2 linked regions of the Arabidopsis thaliana genome follow. The protein of the gene in region 1 interacts with the protein of each later gene in a pairwise test. Each region holds a gene or a part of one and is shown on either strand. Other genes may lie near its edges. The genes, in order: SHM1 and UBP16.

Region 1 (10,702 bases):
TCCTGTGATGCGCCCATTCACTATTTTCACATGACATTTGAAATAAGACTTAAGAATAAATTATAAATAATGTACGGACATGTTAAAAAGGAAATATTATTGATAATGGAAATTTACCTAACTCACACTAAGTTTAATATTATTTCACTCCTTTTTATCTAAACAATTCCATTAAGTTTCCACTATCTCCCGTAATAAACAAACTATAAAAAAGAATCAGTGATTAAAGTTGTATATATGACACACATTTAAGCTATATCTATATATTCTCTTAACCTAGGAACTTTATAAGAACTTCTCTCTATTTCATTGGTTTGATAAAATCATACACACAAATACTAATTTTGGACTAGAAATTTAGTACTTTTCTATGTATTAAATCTACCCAAAAATGTCTCAAACTGAGAGGTGAGTGTGTATGTGTGTGTGTGCATATGCATATATATACTTAGTTTATTCCTCGAATAGATTGTTGACTCTTGGCTCAACCTTCCTCTCTCTCTATTTCTACCTTTCTCTTTCTCCTTATTCGTTCATCTTCATATTCCCTTCCCTTTTGGGCTTGGTAAGATCTACAAAAAAAAAAACCCTAAAAAAGAGAAGAACCAGAGGAGATTCAATTAGAGGATAAAATTGATGGGAAGAGGGAAGATTGTGATCCAAAGGATCGATGATTCAACGAGTAGACAAGTCACTTTCTCCAAACGAAGAAAGGGCCTTATCAAGAAAGCCAAAGAGCTAGCTATTCTCTGTGATGCCGAGGTCGGTCTCATCATCTTCTCTAGCACCGGAAAGCTCTATGACTTTGCAAGCTCCAGGTTCTTCTTTTAAAATTATTCATTCTGAAATCTTTATATCTTCTTGATTTTGTGGATGTACATCTACGGAGATGTTGTGTACCACTGTATGCATATAATTTTATGCTACGGTTTTGTTTATTAGAAGGCTTGGTGATATTCACTGAGATATATGTAGCTGTGGGATCTATTCAAATATAGTGGAATTTTTTCGCATCTGGCGGTCCGTAGAACATGTTACATTAATTTTCCCGTATGTACAATAAGATGTGTCTTGTATAGCCGACAAACAGTTTTCTTACAACAAAGAAAGATTAAAAATGAGGTAGAAGTTTTAAAGAAGAGTAATATTTTTGAAGCTGAAAAAATAATTTGAAGTAGTTTCTTTGCTTCATATTTGGGTGATTATATGTACCCATCATCAGTATGTTTTGAAGTACTTTCCTAACATATGTTTATGTGTATGGACATTGACTTATAACTAACTAAGGCTCATTGTTTGCATTTTCCAAATTTAGATATGTTTCAGAAATAGATGAGAAAACAAGTGTGAATGCCCAAACATCACTATTGGAAAGCTAAAAAAGAATTATAATTGGAGACCACGAGTTAGAAGATTGGTATGTAGAGGACTTAATTTCTCAAATCCAATAAACTGGAAGCTGATTTAGTTTAACCCACTAACAAAATGATCTATTTATACTCGTAAACATAAACATGTTTTTGATATTTATATATAATCATATATATTATTACTAAACGATCAGATTACTCTGTATATTTAACTTTATATCTGCAAAATCGTTATAATTGTCTATTTTCTGAGTAAGTTATTCTTTGTTAAAAGTTTGATTAATATAAAAAAAATATAGAGATAAAAAACTAATTATTAGAAAACATATATAAACATGTAATTCTAAATCATATAATATTTTGATTATATATTTTGAAAATTTATATAATTTCATATTTATCAATTAAAACAACCAAATAAAAGAGTATGGTAATGCGAATTTTTGTTTTTCCCTATTTTCCTTGAGGAATTTTATATTAGCATCAACCTTAAGCATTATTAATTCTTCACGTTTGTCTTTTGATAACATTTCTCATGTATCATAGGGTTTACGAACCTCTTGGTAAATGAAATTACTTAGCATATTTAGTCAAGTTTATATACCATTCTTAAAACTAACTAACACCATGTTATTGTTTGCTTGGATTTAAAATAAAGTGTGCCATGCTAATGCATTACATTTATGTCATTTTGTTTATAGCTTAGAACTGGATTCCTTTAAAGTTCTTGCTTATCTACACCCTAGAAATAACATTTAAGCATTTGTTTTTGTTACTTATTGAAAAAAGAAACTAACATCTACTTACTTTATATATAGTTTATCTAGTTTGTGTAACAAATTCGTATTACTGCTGAGTTCAAGATTATATACATTATGTGAAATGTATGTATGTGTACATATATAAGCGTGTGTAAATAATGTTGCCAATGCAGGAAAGTCTATATTGCACAAATTTCTAGGCTATGAGTTTTTTCTTTACGTATGAAAGCTTTTTAATGGAGTACTTGGAAAAACTTCACGATCGAAAATTAATATCTTTTACGTAATTTACTCTAAGAGATGATATGATATGAGTGAATTATATACCATGAACAAGGTATACTAATATTAAATATTTTGAATAGCATGAAGTCGGTTATTGATAGATACAACAAGAGCAAGATCGAGCAACAACAACTATTGAACCCCGCATCAGAAGTCAAGGTATACATATAGATATAGCGACAACTCTAAAGATATGTGATTATATATTGATTGATGCTTTAGCATGATGTTTGATTTTTGAAATGAGATTTTGGTTTACTGAGCTGTTCAAAGTTTGATGAGTTATTTGTGTTGTGTGTTACAGTTTTGGCAGAGAGAAGCTGCTGTTCTAAGACAAGAACTGCATGCTTTGCAAGAAAATCATCGGTATCGCCTTGAACTTTTATAACATTTTGTATTAAGAATTAGTCTTTGATCAAAATATAGAAGGCATGTAAAGGAAATGAAGAAACTTGTAGTTATGGATTGCGGTATGTTTGCTATGAAGCAGGCAAATGATGGGAGAACAGCTAAATGGTTTAAGTGTTAACGAGCTAAACAGTCTTGAGAATCAAATTGAGATAAGTTTGCGTGGAATTCGTATGAGAAAGGTACATAAATACATATACTCTACCTTCTATTATATGCTTTGGAGTGTATTACTCAAAAGATTGACTATAGAACACAACGGAAATCAATAGAACGATTGCTTTTCCGGATTCACAGGAACAACTGTTGACTCAAGAAATCCAAGAACTAAGCCAAAAGGTCACTATGATGAGATATATATATACACACACTGACACACACAAATATCCCCTACCAAAAGTTACAATTCTAATTTTGGGATTTTTGTTGATCGTGGTGCAGAGGAATCTTATTCATCAGGAAAACCTCGATTTATCTAGGAAAGTACAACGGATTCATCAAGAAAATGTGGAGCTCTACAAGAAGGTAACAAATCATGTTTTACAAAAACTCCATTTTCTTTGGAGTAAGAGCTTCGAAGTGATATGGCTTCGACTTTCAGGCTTATATGGCAAACACAAACGGGTTTACACACCGTGAAGTAGCTGTTGCGGATGATGAATCACACACTCAGATTCGGCTGCAACTAAGCCAGCCTGAACATTCCGATTATGACACTCCACCAAGAGCAAACGAATAACAGAGAGGTAAACTTTTTTAATTGATCTTGATGTTTCACAAACATGCATGCACCATTTAGGCATTTTATATATTTTATGTAACTCGTTAAAAACTTTCACAGATTGAAGTTGGAAGATACCATGATGTTGAAGAACACTCCAAAGGCCTTGGTTTGAATAAGGTTCTTGAACTGGAAACCTCTATACACCAAGCCACGTACGATAAGCAGCATGGTTCTTCTAACATAGTCATATTTTCAATCCTAAATATAATTAAAGCATATATAATTAAAATCCGGTGTTGTTATACTCATCTTGAGTATTAATATTGTACTTGTTTATAACCATAGATTCGTCAATTAATAGAGAAAAATCATATGAATTATTATCCTCAAAACTCTCTCAAATATCAATATTCTTAGATCAATAATTTGTTTAATATATATAACCATGCACTTGGTAATTCTAAAATGTTAAATAAACATTTTCTGTTAAGTTTTTTGTTTTGTTGGTTTTATTTTGTAAATTCACCATAATTCTGTTAATCTTATTCCCCCAAACTAACCGGTTTGGAAACTATATAAATTAAATTGATGTGTGATAACTGAATCGGTTATCGTTGACTGCACTGACCAGAAACCAATAAAGGTTCTGTCTTAAAGGGAAACAAATCATCGTCGTCACCAAATCATCACAATTCACAAAGGTTGGTGTAGACAGGGACCTGAGAGATAACGACAAAGAAACAACAAATATAAAATAAAAATCAGAAGAAAATATAAATAAAAAAAGAGGGAAAAAATTCGAAAATTTGCTGCAACCACCAAAAGCTCAGCCAAAAGCAGAGGCCACAATTCTCTCAAACAAGATAAACCCAATTTTGTTATTTTTGTTCTCTCTTCTCTCTCGTTCATGTTTCAAATCTGTTTCTAGGGTTTCACAAACCAGAGATAGAGAGAGGTTTAGCGAAAAATGGCGATGGCCATGGCTCTTCGAAGGCTTTCTTCTTCAATTGACAAACCCATTCGTCCTCTTATTCGATCCACTTCATGTTACATGGTAACAACCCTAAAGTTTCTTCCTTTTATCTCCGAATTTTATAATCGGATTGGAAATTTTCGATTTTTTTTTTTTTTTTTTCTGATTTCTGTTTGTTCCGTTGCAGTCTTCTTTGCCCAGTGAAGCTGTTGATGAGAAGGAAAGATCTCGTGTCACTGTGAGTTTAAGCGCCTTTTTGTATCTCTTGTTTGTTTATAGTTTTCCTTGTGGTTGAAGCAATGGTTTTGATTGTTGAAGTTCTATGTCTGTTTCAAATTGATGTATGGAGTTCTATTTTTGGTGTGACTGAATCTAATGAAACTTATGTCTTTGTAAACGTTCGTTTCAGTGGCCAAAACAGCTTAACGCACCTTTAGAGGAGGTTGATCCTGAGATTGCTGACATTATTGAGCATGAGAAAGCTAGACAATGGAAGGTTAGTTTGTCTCTGAGATTACTATCTCTTAAATCTTGTTCCTTGATTGATTATTATAAGTTAGGCTGATGTTTGTAACGCTTGTGTTATTATAGGGACTTGAACTTATTCCATCTGAGAACTTCACATCTGTGTCGGTGATGCAAGCTGTTGGGTCTGTCATGACTAACAAATACAGTGAAGGCTATCCTGGTGCCAGATACTATGGAGGAAATGAGTATGTTCAGGAATTTTCAATCTGACACATTTAGTTTCAGGACATGATTGCTTGACCAATCTCTGTAATAAGAATTGAAATCTCAAGTACCTTTTGCTTTGTAGGTATATAGACATGGCAGAAACCTTATGCCAGAAGCGCGCTCTTGAAGCTTTCCGGTTAGATCCTGAAAAGTGGGGAGGTAAATTACTACTTTCATGTATATGAGAAACAAGAAATCTGATTAGTCCTTTGATGGCTTATTTGACTGGATCTTACAGTGAATGTTCAACCTTTGTCTGGATCTCCTGCCAACTTCCATGTGTACACTGCATTGTTAAAGCCTCATGAAAGAATCATGGCACTTGATCTTCCTCATGGTGGTCATCTTTCTCATGGTTATCAGGTGCCTTCAAGTTAACTTTGTATGTCATTTCGGAACTCTCTGACTCTGATGAATAACAGTTTCTTTCTTCTTATTTCTCATCAGACTGACACCAAGAAGATATCAGCTGTGTCTATCTTCTTTGAAACAATGCCCTATAGATTGGACGAGAGCACTGGCTACATCGACTACGATCAGGTTCTTAACTCTTCTATTAAGCAATCATAGTAACTTATAACTAACCCGCTTCATAACAATACATAAGTCTTTAATTTTGATTTGCAGATGGAGAAAAGTGCTACTCTTTTCAGGCCAAAATTGATTGTTGCTGGTGCAAGTGCTTATGCTAGATTGTATGACTATGCCCGCATCAGAAAGGTAATTTCAGTCTCATATCCAACTACAGAACAGATTATTGTAATCAGTAGTGAGTTTTGATTCGAACTCTTTTCCCAGGTCTGTAACAAGCAAAAAGCTGTAATGCTAGCAGATATGGCACACATCAGTGGTTTGGTTGCTGCTAATGTAATCCCTTCACCGTTCGACTATGCTGATGTTGTAACCACCACAACTCACAAGTCACTTCGTGGACCCCGTGGAGCCATGATTTTCTTCAGAAAGGGTGTTAAGGAAATTAACAAGCAAGGGAAAGAGGTAAAAAAGAAAAAGAAGCAAAATTTGAACCAAAATGTTTTAGATTTATGTATAATCTTTCACGTCATTCATTTGTTGTCTTGAAAGGTTTTGTATGATTTTGAAGACAAGATCAACCAAGCTGTCTTCCCTGGTCTTCAAGGTGGTCCACACAACCACACTATCACAGGACTAGCTGTTGCTTTGAAACAGGTACGGTGAGGCACGGAATGGAACTAACGTTGCTTATTGGATTTGCGGTTTCTGTAACCTTCAAATGGTTTGAAAATGCAGGCAACTACTTCAGAGTACAAAGCATACCAAGAACAAGTCCTGAGTAACAGTGCAAAGTTTGCTCAGGTACTAATCCCGTGAAGGAAAGAAAAACACATATGGCGTAGTATCTACTTTGATTATATCTCTACATTGTTGTTTCGTGCAGACTCTAATGGAGAGAGGATATGAACTTGTTTCTGGTGGAACTGACAACCATCTGGTTCTAGTGAATCTAAAGCCCAAGGTCACTTGATCTTTTTTTGTATATAATCTTCTTTTATATTTCTTAGTTAAAACTCATTTTTTATTCGATTTTGTTTGCAGGGAATTGATGGATCTAGAGTTGAGAAAGTGTTGGAAGCTGTTCACATTGCATCCAACAAAAACACTGTTCCTGGAGATGTTTCTGCCATGGTTCCTGGTGGAATCAGAATGGGTAAAAATCACATTTAACCATTTTTCTTTTTGGTATTCGAATGGAGTTCTTCTTGATATCCTCTGCCATTGTTATTTTCAGGTACTCCTGCTCTCACTTCCAGAGGCTTTGTTGAGGAAGACTTTGCCAAAGTAGCTGAATACTTCGACAAAGCTGTGACAATAGCTCTCAAAGTCAAATCTGAAGCTCAAGGTTTTTACTTCTCTGATCACGATGCTATGCTTTCCGTTCTTATATACAATGATTGAACTCATTTGTTATGTTTCTAAAACCAGGAACCAAGTTGAAGGATTTCGTGTCAGCAATGGAATCCTCTTCAACCATCCAATCCGAGATTGCGAAACTGCGCCATGAAGTCGAGGAATTCGCTAAGCAGTTCCCAACAATTGGGTTTGAGAAAGAAACCATGAAGTACAAGAACTAAACTGTTTCACCCCACAAGTGTTTTCTGTTATGCTTTGAATTCCCATGGAATGTATAGATGATACATGTAAAACTCTATTTTCACGCTATGCGAAAAATAATGATCTGTTAAATTTTCTCTCTATACATCAAAAAGAAATATACTTAGACAAAAAAAACACATACAACAAAACAGTGAATTCCCTAAAGAAGATTGTCTTTAGCTCACAAGTGACTTAAGAGTAACCACAAAATACCAACAAAACGAGAAAGGGATAAATAAGAAACTAGAAGTTGGGAGAGGCTCATCCACAAGCTGTGGTCATTTCTCAACCTCATCAAATCTCTTTACAAGAATATGGTTCTGTAACCGGACAACATCTCAAAACTTGTTCTGTTTTTTTTTTTTCATTTCTTAGACAGAAAAATGGTTGCAGCATTCTCTTACACTGCCTGCACCAAGCTTTCTCTATTACATCCTTCTATGGTTGCTCAAATCCGACCAAGAACAACACAAAAGGCGTTCGTGGTGACAAATCCGGAACAAGACAGTACTCTTGAAGTACAAGAAACAGAGACACTCAAAGAAGAGCAATCAACAGAGAAGATGAAGAAGCAGCCAACACCATTGAGACCAGTGGAGAAACAGCTGAACGTGAAGAGCAAGGGTATGGGCGATTTTGGTGGTCAGTGGCTAAGCAGTGTCACACGTCACGTTAGGATCTACGCTGCTTATATTGATCCAGAGACTTGTGAGTTTGACCAGTCACAAATGGATAAACTCACTTTGATTCTTGATCCTACTGAAGAATTTGTGTGGGATGATGAAAGCTGTAACAAGGTCTATTCTTATTTCCAAGAACTCGTCGATCACTACGAGGTAACGATAACAATAAACGAACGAAACATTCATCTAAAAGTTAGACTCATTTCAAGAAGACCTTATAATATTGTTTTTGAACAGGGAGCACCATTAACGGAGTACACATTGAGATTGATAGGATCGGACGTAGAACATTACATAAGGAAGATGTTGTTCGATGGAGAAATACAATACAATATGGATGCAAGAGTTCTTAATTTCAGTATGGGAAAGCCTCGTGTACAATTCAATACCAGTAACATTGAAGGTGGTGGAGATGGTCAGCCTCAAGAGGACGCTTAGTGAAACAAACTCTATTTTATAATCATGTAATGGGAATATAAATATATTGTAGTATGCTTTTTAATTTTGTCTATCACAAAGTAACATATGTATATATCATGACATATGCTATAATTATTTTTGTAATAATCAATCTTAAGTTTCTTTGTCTTTTCTTGTTAATGTAAGGTCTTAAGGTCATGTGAATATGTAATGTCAAAGAAACTCAATTCTGGTCTTGCTCATTCATGTTCCTTACTCCTTGCCTCTTTTTAAAAAGATTTCAAACTGATGCAAAACTTGTTAGTTTTAACATTTTTACCCAAAAAGTTATATTAAGTTTTTGAATTTGTCAACGTTTACTAATTATTTACAATTAAAACCCTGTTCTTCTTATCCTCTGGTGTTTCTCGTTGTTCGTCACCAAGACGAACTTTGTGAGGGAGAAAAAATGGCGAATTTACTGGAAACATCAATCTTTTTCTCCTCTGCTGATAAATTACTGTCTTTCCCGCCTAAGAATTCTCAAACCCATCATCTCCCTTTCTCTGCTTTCATCAATGGAGGAAGAAAGATACGCAAAAGCTCAACTATCACCTTTGCTACCGACACTGTCACTTACAATGGCACTACAAGTAAGCTCATAAACCCTAAATCTCTAATCTTTCTGTCTAATTACCAATAAATTCTATTTCTTTAGATTCCAATTTGTATTAATTGTCACCATTAGATAAGCTAAACCCTTTTCATAGACTAGGATTCGTCTAGTTAGAGAAGCTTTTTTTATTGAAGATAGAAATTTTGTGTTTAGGTGCGGAAGTAAAAAGCTCTGTTGAGGATCCAATGGAAGTTGAGGTTGCTGAAGGTTACACTATGGCTCAGTTTTGTGACAAGATTATTGATCTCTTCTTGAATGAGAAACCTAAAGTTAAACAATGGAAGACGTATTTGGTTTTAAGAGATGAATGGAACAAGTACAGTGTTAATTTCTATAAGCGTTGCAGAATCCGAGCTGATACCGAAACTGATCCTATATTGAAGCAGAAACTGGTATCTTTGGAAAGTAAAGTCAAGAAGGTATTTATAGTGTTGTATTTTGTGTTTATTAGTGAACTCAGGTTAGTTTATTGTTGTTGTTGTGTACTTATAGGAGTGAGTATTGTTGCAGATAGATAAGGAAATGGAGAAACACAATGACCTTTTGAAGGAGATTCAAGAAAACCCAACAGACATAAACGCAATCGCTGCCAAGAGACGCAGAGACTTTACGGGAGAGTTTTTCCGCTATGTTACTTTGTTATCAGAAACTCTTGATGGCTTGGAAGACCGAGATGGTACTTAAAACATTAATCATGTTGCTTACTTATTGATTCCCACAGTTTCATGATTGTTTTGTTATTTTTGAGCAGCTGTTGCGAGGCTTGCAACTAGATGTTTATCTGCTGTGAGTGCTTATGACAACACGTTGGAGAGTGTTGAGACTCTAGATACTGCTCAAGCAAAGTTTGAAGATATTTTAAACTCTCCATCCGTGGATTCTGCTTGCGAAAAGATCAGAAGTTTAGCCAAGGCAAAGGAGCTTGATTCCTCATTGATCTTATTGATCAACAGTGCATACGCTGCTGCAAAAGAGTCTCAAACTGTTACGAACGAGGTAATAGCCATTGGATTACAATCTTCTTTAATATTCTTCACAATCTTCTCAAATCGATATCGTATTTTTTGAACAGGCTAAAGACATAATGTATCATTTATACAAAGCTACAAAGAGCAGTCTTAGAAGCATCACACCGAAAGAGATCAAACTTTTAAAGTACTTACTCAACATAACAGACCCCGAAGAACGATTCTCTGCCCTAGCTACAGCATTCTCTCCTGGTGATGACCACGAAGCTAAGGACCCTAAAGCATTATACACGTAAGTAACATAAAGATGCACACTTTAGTGTTTCATCTTTAACCACAACCATTGATTCTAACCAAGCTGATGACACAGGACGCCAAAGGAGCTGCATAAGTGGATAAAGATAATGCTTGATGCTTACCATCTCAACAAAGAAGAAACAGACATTAAAGAAGCTAAACAGATGAGCCAACCTATCGTTATTCAGCGGCTTTTCATTCTCAAGGACACTATCGAAGACGAGTATTTAGACAAGAAAACAATCGTGGCTGATGAAACTCCAAAGAAGGAAGAAGAAGATACGACTATT
Region 2 (12,489 bases), 5.2 Mb from region 1:
TAAGAAGCTTTTATCTGGCTCCAGACGATCTTCACTACCCCGACATGATGACGGCAAAAAGGATGAGGATATCGTGGTTAAGGGAGTTAATAATACAGAGGTAAAGGCTGTTGTAGAGGTCTCGACAAGTGAGGATAAGAATTCATCAACGTCAGATGTGGCATCTGACACTCAGAAACCGTCTAAGTTATCCGATGCACCGGGAGGAAGTAAAAGGCACTGGGGCCGTACCCCTGTAAGTTTCTTTTTCCTCTGCCTTTATTACCTATCTCTTAAGGGATCCAGACATTTAGTAAACGTTTGGTGTTTTATGTGCTCAGGGGAAGAAAAACTTGTCAATGGAATCTATTGATTTCTCAGTGGAAGTGGACGAGGACAAGTAAGTATCATCATCTCTACAAATGATTTACATCTTTATGTTTCTTTCAAAACTTCAAATTTGTTTGGACTAGAATTAATGTGGTCTACATGGTTCTTCTTCTGACAATGTTAATATTCTGCAGTGCTGACATTGAGAGACTTGAGTCAACCAAATTAGAGCTGCAAAGCAGAATTACAGAAGAGGTCACGATAAGTCCTTTTGAGTATTTTTGCTTTTGCGAACTCGGTGTGCTATACAGGTGGTGATTTTGACGAGTATGTGATCTCTAACAACCTCCATGTTTGGTACAACAGGTAAAAAGCAATGCAGTTCTACAGGCTAGTTTGGAGCGACGGAAGAAGGCTTTGTACGGGCGGCGCCAAGCACTAGAGCAAGATGTAAGTGTAAAATAAAACCTTATCTTAGCAATGTGAAGTTTGTTATTTATTGAGTGTTTAAATTTTAGTTATATGAATGTGCTTTACCTTTGACTAGGTGGGAAGACTACAAGAACAGTTGCAGCAAGAGAGAGACAGGAAATTAGCTCTGGAAACAGGACTGAACATGTCAAAAGGGAATCAACCTATTCCAGAAACAATCGATGAAAATGTTGCTCCTCTTCATTTTTGTCTAGCAACTAGTTGATTTTTGTCAGGCTAAAAGTACATATATCTAACTTGGGAGACATTTTACAGTTGAAGAAAGATCTGCAAGAGGTAGCTCAAGCGGAGGCTGATATTGCCAAGTTGGAACATAAGGTTGATGATCTTGAAAATAGGCTTGGTCACCATGACGGAAAAGCCTCTGGTTCTACGCATAGTGCCAGCAAAGAATCTCGGAAATTGCCAGAGCACAATGCGAAGATGTACGGATTCATCAACAGATTCACATTTAACCTCACAACCTATGGTTTAAATAATATCAAAGCTAATTACTCGTCTTCTTTCAAATTTGTCACTCAGGAAGGAGAAACAAAAAGATACTGAAGCAGCCTCTACTCACATTTCTGAAAGATCAACGTCCAAGGTAACCACTGTAAACATTTGTCTATCAATTTTGTGTTTTCTTCCTCTGTATTTATCCTCTACAGACGGGTAACATATTGCAGGATGGGCAAGGGGCTGCAAGAGAAAATGAGACAGAGAAGCAACAGGATTCACGGAGCAAAAGCTCGCAACAAGAAACATCACGTGGCAGCTCAAAACTGGTGGGCTTGTCAAAGAGGTCTGGCACAAAGGGAGAGGTAAGTTTCATAGTGTAACCATTAAATTTCATCCAAATATCGTTCAAAGCTAGAAACTGAGTGAAATAAACAGGGAAGCACAACAACAACTTCTGCACTTTCCAAATTGACAATGAGACTCAACTTCCTCAAGGAGAGACGTAGTCAGATCGCGAACGAGCTCCAAAACATGGACAAAGGAAAAACCCTAGGGCAACCCAGTCCAACCTCGGGACAAAACCGTGTATCAGAGGAAACTGAAAAAGGATCAGGGTCGAACCAGGATCCAGACAGCAGCAAACTACAGAGCCCTCACATTCTTGACAGAGGAAGATCCGAGAACGGAGGAGACAGAGGCAGAGGATCATCTGGAGGAAACCATCCCAACACTACACCAAGGACCTTCTCCAGATGATACTCTTTATCAACAACCCCTTCCCTCAGATGTACAGCCGCCATTTAACAACACCACCTCCAGTTATGCTTATTCGTCACCCCCCAACAACCAAATAACAGATTCTTTCTTCTTTTTAGTCTCATTCTTATCTTGCTTCAGCATTTTTTTAAGACCAAATAAACTACACTCTCTTTTTTTGTTGTGTTTTAACTGTGCGTTGGATCTGTTGTTTTGGTAGTGACATTTCACATCAGTATAGAAACTAAAATTGAATTGTATTTAACAACAATGCTTGAACAAAAAATATATTGAATCCCCCTCTTCCTAGTTCCTTCTTGTGTTCACTATTTCAAAAATGAATAAATCAATATAAATAGTCGCCATCATCATCATCAATAAAAGAATGGTATCAAAAATCTCGAAGCAGCTTCCTAACTTGCTCCAACGTAACGAAGAGAACAACAGTGAAAGGACCTTGCCTACAAACTGTAGGAACAAAGCCTTTATAAAGAGCCATGGCTCCTTCCGCTTTAACCGTCTTCACCGCACAATCCCACGCGCCGTCGTACGCTCCCACCTTCATATTCATCACTCTCGTCTTTATCACATCCACCGGATTAGACGCAACCGAAGCAACAAACCCCGCCGCAAAACTCGCTACCACGTGAGTCCCTAGCCCATCATTCATCACACCATTCTCCAATATCCCTTCCTTGAACTGATCGTAAGACGCTAGCTGAGCCGCCGTCACAATCATCGCTCGGTTAATCGTCAACGCCGAGCCTCGCCACAAGCTCGTTACGCCTTCTCCCTTAACCATGCTCCTGATTGCGTCTCCTACTCCGGCGTAGTTACGACGTTGCGCTAAAGGTAACCTCCCGTCAGCTTGCATCCTAACCATCGCCACGTCAGCTGGATTTCCAACGGCGGCTCCGATTCCACCAGCGACTAGCCCTGCACCGATCTTCCTACTCAGATTCAACTTCCCTGACTCAGGATCAGTCCATTTGTTCTTAAGCACTTCGTATAGACCCATCCTGGTGGTGGAATATAACGTCTGACGGAGAAGTGTAGCGGAGACTCCTGAGAATAACGCGGCGGCGCCTTCCGATTTGACTATGTTGATTCCGAGTGAGATCGGTCCTACTTTGGGGACTGAAGAAGTCGTTTCCAGGAAAGCTGCAGGAGAAGAATTGGGGAAAGCGAGAGCTGGACGGAGGAGAGTGACGGTGGTGGTGGAAGGTGCTTCACCGTGAAGCTGAAGACGAACCTTGATTAGATCGAGAGGGTGAGTAGAGCAACCGGCGATTACAGAGGCAATCCCACCTTCAACGAAACTTTTGACTCCCATTGTTGTGAAATTGGAGAGAGAAGAGAGAATGAAATTGAGATGTTGTGAGTGAAGGAGAAGAAGAGGGAAACAAAGGTATTTATTTGTAGCGAGTTTTGTTTTGTGACGCGGTTTTGTCTGTGTTCAATGTTGACGAAACGAGTGAGAGAGTGTCTGATTATTAAAGAAAACCCTAATTAAGTCAGACCCGCCGGTTATAAAAATAGTCAAAAAGTAGGAAAACGCGTGTGTGAGTGAGACAGAGACAGCCCATTGTTTGCTTTATGGGCTTATAAGCGAGACGTGTTAATTGGGCTTTTTCCTTTATGGCCGAAAACAAAAGAAACGTCGCCTGAGAGATTCGAACTCTCGCGGGCAGAGCCCATGTACTTAGCAGGCACACGCCTTAACCACTCGGCCAAAGCGACTTGTTGCTATGAGTTAGACAAAATCATTAAAATTCTCTATTATGATTTCTCATAGTGTGTGTGTATATTGTGGATCTACTAAAAATTCTTTGTTATTATTACTTTATTTTGTGAATTAGTTTGATATAGGTAAGTACAAAGTTAACTTTATTATTTACTCAAAATTTATCAGATTAACTGATTTTATATTGTTTCCTTTGGTATATAGACGTACTATAGTTTTTAGAAAAACCATAAGATTCCTTTATATTTCATAGAGTGAAGAGATGAGATGAGATCTTGGCTGGAGAAGAAATAAGTTTCCACGAGGAGGACTCTTTTTTTTTGGTGAAGACGAGGAGGAGGACTCTTGGTTGATCCAGTCTTTACGTTAGACATCGACCCCTACATTTATTTGCCTTTCTCTATCAACATGGCAGGTAAAAATCTTCATTCAACCGAACCAACCAAAGTCTCTTCCCAATAATATTCAAGCACCATCCTTTGGGAAACTCATACATACTACAGTCTACACTCTTTCATTTTCTTTCAACGCTCAACTTAACAAATGATATAGTCTAGTTGTCAATTATATGTTTTAATTAGTGTTTTCACATCAAATTCTGGTTTGATATTTGATGACTATTTTCGGAAACATCTCAATGTCCCGCAAATACAATCGTCTATCATATATAATCCCGTACGTTGTATTCTTATAGATAGAATAATATGGCGTGATCTTTATAATATAACATATAGAATCGTGTAGATTTATTTTATTTTATTTTTATATATCGCATAAATTGCAAAATACTTATATATGTTTGTTATATATGATACCCATTTTATAGTTACTTAAAAAAAGTTAAGCGATAATATATATATATCAACTTTTTATAACAAAAAAGTATAACACATGGTAAAGAAAAATAAAAATGAAGACATGGTGTGACACGAAAATGGCACTAAATATACATATATAATAGATAGCTACAATATCCCATCATACACACTTTTTTAATTGACTAATACATAACTTACACACTTTTTTAATTGACTAATTCATAACTTTTTATCATTGTCAACATGCAAATTCATATTTCCGTTGAACTATTATTCTTATTTTGTTTTTAAAAGAAGGGCTTCCTGGTAATAAAAATATGATTTCCAAATGACGTTAGAGCAAAAAAAAAAAAAGGTTGTCTGGTCTGGTAAAATGAAAAAGCAAAGCGTCTTGGTATAGAAAAGTAATATACTGCCTCCTAATTTCTTCGTCCTTCTACCGAAGAATCTCTCCACTCTTGCCCTCTTTCGAAACCCTAAACCAGAAGCACCAGATTTTTTCAACTTTTTCCCAGAGAACAATAGAAAACCCAACTTGTGCTCTCTAGGGTTTTCTTTATTCCTTCTCATCTTTGGATTTTCTTGGGTCATCATTTTGGAAGCTTACCCACCAGCGAAAAAATTATAACTTCCATCGATTCCTGGCTTCTCTCTCTCGCTCTCTCTGCATGTGCTAAATCGCCGGACTGATCCTCACTGTCACCTCTGTTCCCGGCTTATTCGCCGGTGAAATCTATGGTTGGTGCTCAGATTTATTTCCAATTGTTTGTGCATCTGGTGGAGGATAAATGCTCCTTGTTTTGGATCTAGGGATTTCTAGTCTAGTCCTTGTGGTCTCTCTTGTTTTACCTTTGATCGGTCTCTTTGTTCGTCACAAATGGAGGGTCGCTGCCCAAAGAAGGGAGGAGATTAGAAGACTTCTTATTCATGCTTCTGAAGAGGCTGCCAGGGCTGAGCTAGAGGCCTCTGTTGAGTTCTCTTCTGTTGCCGTCTCTAATGTCTTCCATTGTCCTGTTTGCTATTGTCTTGCCACGACTCGTTGCTCTCGCTGCAAAGCCGTTCGATATTGGTATGCAAAAATTCTCTCACTTTCTCCATGTCCAAATTACGTTGTATGATCTTAGAGTTATGATTGCATCTGCTGCACTCTCTGCTGAGACGTGATGAATTGGAGTGATTAGTAGGCAAAGAATATAAGTTAGTTCTGTAACTTTAGCGATACTGGATCAGAGATTTAAGAAAATTGACTTCTTTTTCTATGTTAACAAAATTATGGGTAATTAGTTAGCTTGGGAGGAAGTTTAGTATTTGATTCATGGCTTATCTGTGAGTAACTAACTATGTGCTGCTGAGGAATTTATTTCAATTAGATAGCTTAAGAAATGTACTATAATGTCTATCAAATTTTCAACCTTTTCCCCTTAGCGCATGTGAAATTTCGTTACCTACATATCTTAGTGATAGTTGTTTCGTTTTTGTTATTTTTTTTCCAGTTCCGGGAAATGTCAAATCATTCACTGGCGGCAAGGTCACAAAGATGAATGTCATCCTGCTTCCATTGTATATGATAGTGAAGATGAGAGTGATTCCGATTTGAGATTAGGAGAAGAAAATGGACAAAATACTCCTGAGGAAACTTTACTGGTGGGTCCAGAACCAGTTACTATACCAATCGGGGAATCACTATTATCTAATCGTGCCAGATCTCCTGAAGATGGGAATGGAGATATTGCAGATAACAAAGATGACCTTATAGATAAGGAAGAAGCTGTTTCTGTTGCTGAAACATCTGGATCCTCGTTTTCTGGCTTCTCCTCCTCCCCCCGTAATGACTCTGGCGACGAGATTTCTCGTTGTGAGAGCTTCAGTTCATCTGAATCCGAGAGATCAGAGTCCCTACTTGATGCTCATGTCTCTGTAGAGCCAGAAGACACCTGTTTCAGCACCATTGAAGATGCTCCATCCAAACTGTTGTCTCCAAAATTTGTGCACTTGGTTGAATCTGTAGATAATCTCGCTAATCTGCCTAAATTAAGTGTACATAAACCTGAGGATGATGCTGGGCAGAACCAGAGCCAATCAAGGAGCTTACACTCATTAGTTACGGATAGGCATCCAGTATCAGCTGACCCATCTCTGAAGTCATCTGATTTTTGGGGTACGGCTCTTGGATCAGCCGAACGTGTGAGTGATTCTTGTGTTAAATCTAAATCTGGTAGACCTGGTAACTCCTCTCTGCATTTCTCCTTTGGCTCTGGCTCCTCTAGAGACACCTCAGCTGCTAAAGTTTCTGAGCAGAGGAGTAGCATTTTAAAAGAAGCTCCTAGGGGGACTGGTTATATATCTGATGGAGTAAACTTAAGAGAAAGAAATGCTAAAAGATTTGATGAAGCTGAAATTGCATTACCAATTTCCTCTTCTACTGATGCGCTGAGTCCTTTGGACTCTTCTAATTTGTCCCATGTGACCCTTCCGAAGTCAAAGAGCGCTAGTAGTGAAAATGGCTCTATGTTGGCCCCTTTGAAGGTTGGGGAAGTCCAACTTTTGGCATCCAAGGCCTCGAATACCAAGAAGTGTGCTGATCTTATGAAGCATTCTCCTTTAGGTGCAAAATCGGTAAGAGTTCTTGATCATCAGAAACAGAATGGTGCTGTCGTTCAGCATATAAATTCTCTACATGGAAGAAGTGGTTTAAAGGCATCAGTACTGAAAGTTGTAGACCAGTGGACCAGACCGAAGTCTGAAAATGAGATGGCAGGAAGACATGGTCATAAGGTAATCACTGAGTTCTAGGATGTTATCATCATTATGCAATACTTAGTTCCTACATTAACAAATCAGCAAAGCTATTTTTCTTATCAATCTTTTGGTGACATGCAGGGGCTCTTTCCATATGAAGTCTTTGCTAAACTGTATACATATAAAATTGAGTTCCAGCCTTGTGGCCTCATCAACGTTGGCAATAGGTAATTCCAATTTCCTCTTTTTCTAGTCGTTTTTAGCTGTTATAATCTTCAGCTTGTGGTGTAAAAAATGTAAAGTAAATGTGTAGCTTACACTCGCTGATGCAAGAATATACTCTGTTTCTTGCAGCTGCTTTGCTAATGTTGTCTTTCAATGCCTTATGTTCACTCCTCCTCTGACGACATACTTCCTCCAGCAATTTCATTCCAGAGCATGTGCGTCACTGGTTCTAAGTCTTTTTTCTTTTTGCTGCTTATTTTGGAAGGTTATTTTTTATTATCATCAATATATCAAGCCTTTAATAAGTCGTTTAACTATAGGTACAAAAAAAGAACAGTGCTTCACCTGTGGGTTTGAGAAGCTGGTCGTAAAGGCAAAAGAAGAGAAGTCTCCACTGTCCCCTAATGGCTTGCTATCTCAGCTGCAGAATATTGGAATCTTTCTTGGGAATGGCAAGGAAGAAGATGCACATGAATTCCTTAGGTGAACTGACATTTCTGAAATTGAGCAAACTTTGTTGCATATATCTTTATTATAACTGGAAGATCTGTGTTAATTTCATTTTCCTTGCAATTTGCAGGTTTGTTGTCGATACAATGCAGTCTGTGTGCATTAAGGCATCTGAATATGATATGACCAAGAGTAGCAAATTAGAAGATACAACTCTTATTGGTTTGACATTTGGGGGATACCTCCGGTCAAAGGTATCATTACCTACAACATTTGTACTTTACTCATTTTACTTTGTTTTGGAGGGAGTTGTAATCCTGGTACTTATGATCTCTGCCAGATTAAATGCATGAAATGTCAAGTAAAATCTGAGCTGCGTGAGAAAATGATGGATCTAACGGTTGAGATTGATGGAGATATTAGCACCCTGGATGATGCTTTGCGTCGATTTACAAGGACTGAGATATTGGATGGAGAGAACAAATACAGATGTGGCAGGTTGGTCAGCATTCCTTTCCATGTGTTGAACTTCGTGTGGTCCTTTGATATTTCGAATTATCTTTTCATGGTTCTGAGGATAGAGTTTTACATGAGCTTTATATATGGTTCTGAGTTGGGTATGATACCGATTGATTTAAAGTTCATGGGCAGCTGAAGTAGAGTTCATGGCCTGCCAAAGTATTCCCTTTCATATATTTCAATTACAATACCTAGATTCCACGACCAGCTGCAATAAAATTCCCTTCTAGCTTATGAAGACAGAATGTTTTTGAAGTACTATCATGGTCTTTCATTTGCGTAGTTTTAACTAATCACCTGTAACCTCTTATGTAAATCCTGGCAGTACGATTTTACATTCAATGATTGATGGGTGCTTACTCAATTTTTTTATTTTCCTGTGAGCAGCTGTAAATCCTATGAGAGAGCCAAAAAGAAGCTGAAAATAACAGAGCCTCCGAATGTCCTTACCATTGCACTAAAACGATTCCAGGTAACTTATATCTTCAATGAATACCCGGTTTGTTTCTGTTTAGTTCTATCTGGATTCTCTTGTTTCTCACAATTTTGCGACACTTGATTCTTAAAGGCAGGGAAATTCGGGAAGCTCAATAAGTTGATTAGGTTTCCAGAAACTCTAGATTTGGCTCCATATGTCAGTGGGGGAAGTGAAAAATCACATGACTACAAACTCTATGGAGTTATTGTTCACTTGGATGTAATGAATGCAGCATTTTCTGGCCATTATGTCTGCTATATTAGAAACCAAAATAAGTGGTACAAGGCTGATGATAGCACGGTAAGTTTCTCATATATTATCAATGGAATGTTGTTTGCGAATTAGTTTATAAGTAAGCTCGATTTTTTGTTCCCTTTTTACTTGAGTTTGTTATTTGATGAACTTTGGAATTAACTAGGAGTATCTTACTTCTATGACAGCATTTTAGGTTTACAATTTTCTGCTTCTTCCTTTTCAGTGATGAGTTTCTTAGTTTGAAATTTTGAATGGATAAGTATTATATAATTTTCCCCTTCCTTTTATATGCTGAAGTTGTTTTCTAGAAAGGATATTCTAGCTGGTTCCATTGGGGTTTCTATCTTTGTTGTAGTCTGAAGAGTCGTAGGATTGGTTTTGTGAGAGAAAATGTTTTGGCTTCTACTCATTGACTGGTCTCTTCTCGTCATCATCCATATATCTGCATCATACATTTGAAGAAAATTTCAATGTTTAATTCCTCTGTTGTGCATTGATTATTGTCAGGTAGTAACTTCGGATGTGGAAAGGATCTTGACAAAGGGAGCGTATATGTTGTTCTACGCAAGGTAAATAATATTATAATGCATCTCTCACACTCTTTAAAGTTGTGGATTATGCTCGATCTGGTTACTTATGATGGTATATATCGAATGAATTGACTGCAGGTGCACTCCAACGCCTCCAAGATTAGCAGTATGTACCAAAACTGAAGCATCCAATAAAAAAAGCAGAGTGCCACTACCTAAGGCTAATGAGAAAAGTACCATATCCCGGTCTGTGTCTACTTCAAGTCCTGAGTTGTCTTCCAACACGCCTGGTGGTGGTCGATCCGGCAATATACAGTCATTTTATTCTAGTTTCCAGAGGCTGCAGAAGATTTTAGAAGAAGACTCGGCGAGTGACAGTTCATCTCTCTTTGACAGCAACTCAGATGAATGCTCTTGTAGCACAGACAGTACAAGCATGGACGACTTTGCTGATTTCATTTTTGGAGATCATCAGGGACGGGCTCACGGACAGTCTGAGACTCCCTCACCAACATCATCGTCTTCCTCATCTTCTCCCCCCTTCACAAGGCGTTCGCCGCTCAGTCGTTCTTCTCCAGAAACTTACGGAACCTCAAGACATCAGTTGCCCTTGGGAGGAGAAAGGTAAGGGAAACAAGATGGTTTTTTGTCCACTTGGCCCCAACTAAGTCAAAAGTAGTAGAAGAAAGTAGATTTGATTACACGTAGATTGAGTGGTTTTATTAACAACCCGTATTTAGGCTTGGTGAAAGTGGTTAATGAGAGAAGTGGTGGTATATAGTAGTGTATAGTGGGGAAGAGAGTTTTTGCCCATGAAATTGTATCACGTAATGGAACGGAATTTACCTTTGTTAATAAGTTGTTTTGACTTTTATTATAATCAATCAATAAAGCTAATCTAATATTGTCTCATCGTTGCACCTTTATTTCTTTTGCAATTTGCTTAACTTTGAATCTTTGGATTCAGTTCAGTTCAGAAATTCAAGAAAAATCCCAAAAGATGCAATTTTGCCAGTTCCAAGAAAAGAGATCATATGATGTTTTCAGGGGCAAACAAAATAAAAGCATATAGCCATATATGTTGATACCGAAACAAGAAAGTATCCAAATAGAAGAGACAACATTCAACACAGTACTGTGAAGCAAGTGTGATCCGAAAATGAAAAGAGAAAGTACTTAGACATACAAGTGAAGGATAAACATTATCTGAAAACAGGTCATATCCTAGCCACATAAGAATTCGCCTGTGTCACATATCTCACCCAACGATATGGATTATAACTACTTGATTTCTTTGCTATCTGCAAGTATTTGACCTGCATCACCCAATTCATTAGCGTTAATGATCGAAGAGGACGGTTAATGGCAATGCAAGAATCGGCATATTACTTACCTGAAGTTTAGAAACATTGTACATAGGTATCGTGAACGTCATGCTGACTGGCCCTGCTTCCTTTGTGATATTACCTACAACGAATTGAGAATTATCAGTAATGCTTTATTTTCCCCTGAGAGAACAAACATTACAAACTTTTGTCTTAGAGGGTAACCATGAAATTCCTGTGAAAATGTAAGCTTTGCACGCAGTGTATGCTCACCCCCGCCAACAATCTGGAATGCCACAGTTAGCTCATGGAAGCAACATACAGTTCAATATATACCTAAACTAGCAAACCACGTGAGAGATTTAACACTTGCCTTTTTTAAATTCCATTCAAGCATTTTGTTGGATTCCTTGAAATCTGTCCTCTGTCCAGCAGCACCGGGTTCTAACTCAAAACTAGCCCTGTCACAATAAACATAATCGTTGATTCTATTTCTTGTGTGATTCAGAATTCGGTATATCACTATAGCTGGAATTTAAATAAATTCATCGTATTCTCTTCCTCATGTACAATATCTCAGTGATGCACTTGTACAAACCAATCAAAAAGTTATGTACCTGGAAGTATAATTTGGCAATGGCATCTGAACAGTGATTGTGTTTGCAATTATGTCTGAAGGGAACTCAGCGCGTATTTTAATAATCACTTCAGCCTAAATTTCAGCAAACAGAAAAATATTTATAGAGCAATTAAGAAATATACGCAGTTTTTATCTGACTCAGAAGACATGTACGCATGAAATTTCACCTTAAGACGTCCAGCCTCTTCAATCAAGGTATTAACATGAAAAGGAGGCTTGAACTCCTGAGTCATACGGTAATTCATTACTGGAAATTCACCATCTGGTGGAACCTGAAAACAGAACGCAAGTTAAAGACTAATACAACATGCTATTACAAGATGTTTTCTGTACTAAATATTTTGACGCTCACCAGGGACAAAGTTCTATCTGAATCGAAGCTATCCAGACGAACAGACTCATGAAAGTTACAATCATCAAGTATCACCCCTGAACCTGAAGAACTCCTATAATCTGCAACATTTCAAGTGTGATGTTACCAAGGGTTAGATTGTATTAATAGATCAATCCCCAGTTGATACTGATGTGCCTCAAAGATGCAGAAAAAATGCTACAAGAGTAACTACATATATTTACGAATTGGGTTATGACTTATGAGGGAAGTTTGTAAGTGGAACATACAGCTTAGTTGACATTTAAGCATTGTCAACGCCAAATGTCACAGAAAGAGACACCAAGATTTCAAAGAGTGAGACAAGATAGAATATGACGTTGATTCCTTCCAAATATAATAAAGATGATTTAAAGGGGTGAAACAAGAAATACCAT

What was found.
Region 2: the proteins of SHM1 (region 1) and UBP16 interact in binary tests that used the Arabidopsis thaliana proteins (3 or more experiments, as listed by UniProt).

What each region holds. Positions count from the first base shown.
Region 1 is NC_003075.7:17,828,556-17,839,257, reverse strand, and holds SHM1 (serine transhydroxymethyltransferase 1), read left to right. Parts: upstream 1-4,240; 5' UTR 4,241-4,515; coding exon 4,516-4,602; intron 4,603-4,708; coding exon 4,709-4,759; intron 4,760-4,930; coding exon 4,931-5,017; intron 5,018-5,112; coding exon 5,113-5,234; intron 5,235-5,338; coding exon 5,339-5,415; intron 5,416-5,494; coding exon 5,495-5,619; intron 5,620-5,703; coding exon 5,704-5,796; intron 5,797-5,883; coding exon 5,884-5,976; intron 5,977-6,054; coding exon 6,055-6,252; intron 6,253-6,339; coding exon 6,340-6,444; intron 6,445-6,525; coding exon 6,526-6,591; intron 6,592-6,673; coding exon 6,674-6,751; intron 6,752-6,831; coding exon 6,832-6,943; intron 6,944-7,024; coding exon 7,025-7,135; intron 7,136-7,218; coding exon 7,219-7,367; 3' UTR 7,368-7,527; downstream 7,528-10,702. Other genes in the region: AGL21 (AGAMOUS-like 21), read left to right, coding at 637-818, 2,497-2,575, 2,721-2,782, 2,907-3,006, 3,122-3,163, 3,266-3,349, 3,426-3,563; NdhM (subunit NDH-M of NAD(P)H:plastoquinone dehydrogenase complex), read left to right, coding at 7,773-8,225, 8,310-8,510; AT4G37920 (endoribonuclease E-like protein), read left to right, coding at 8,941-9,124, 9,301-9,566, 9,658-9,823, 9,899-10,143, 10,220-10,407, 10,486-10,702. UniProt on the Arabidopsis thaliana protein: Functions in the photorespiratory pathway in catalyzing the interconversion of serine and glycine. Involved in controlling cell damage caused by abiotic stress, such as high light and salt and the hypersensitive defense response of plants.
Region 2 is NC_003075.7:12,677,388-12,689,876, reverse strand, and holds UBP16 (ubiquitin-specific protease 16), read left to right. Parts: upstream 1-4,900; 5' UTR 4,901-5,348; coding exon 5,349-5,629; intron 5,630-6,053; coding exon 6,054-7,335; intron 7,336-7,440; coding exon 7,441-7,526; intron 7,527-7,653; coding exon 7,654-7,739; intron 7,740-7,844; coding exon 7,845-8,007; intron 8,008-8,104; coding exon 8,105-8,228; intron 8,229-8,314; coding exon 8,315-8,472; intron 8,473-8,880; coding exon 8,881-8,965; intron 8,966-9,061; coding exon 9,062-9,271; intron 9,272-9,733; coding exon 9,734-9,795; intron 9,796-9,894; coding exon 9,895-10,384; 3' UTR 10,385-10,677; downstream 10,678-12,489. Other genes in the region: REN1 (Rho GTPase activation protein (RhoGAP) with PH domain-containing protein), read left to right, coding at 1-235, 321-379, 504-564, 676-759, 857-970, 1,057-1,226, 1,324-1,387, 1,470-1,604 and 1 more; DIC2 (dicarboxylate carrier 2), read right to left, coding at 2,390-3,331; AT4G24550 (Clathrin adaptor complexes medium subunit family protein), read right to left, coding at 10,974-11,072, 11,150-11,223, 11,307-11,367, 11,455-11,542, 11,699-11,793, 11,889-11,993, 12,074-12,174, 12,487-12,489. UniProt on the Arabidopsis thaliana protein: Recognizes and hydrolyzes the peptide bond at the C-terminal Gly of ubiquitin. Involved in the processing of poly-ubiquitin precursors as well as that of ubiquitinated proteins.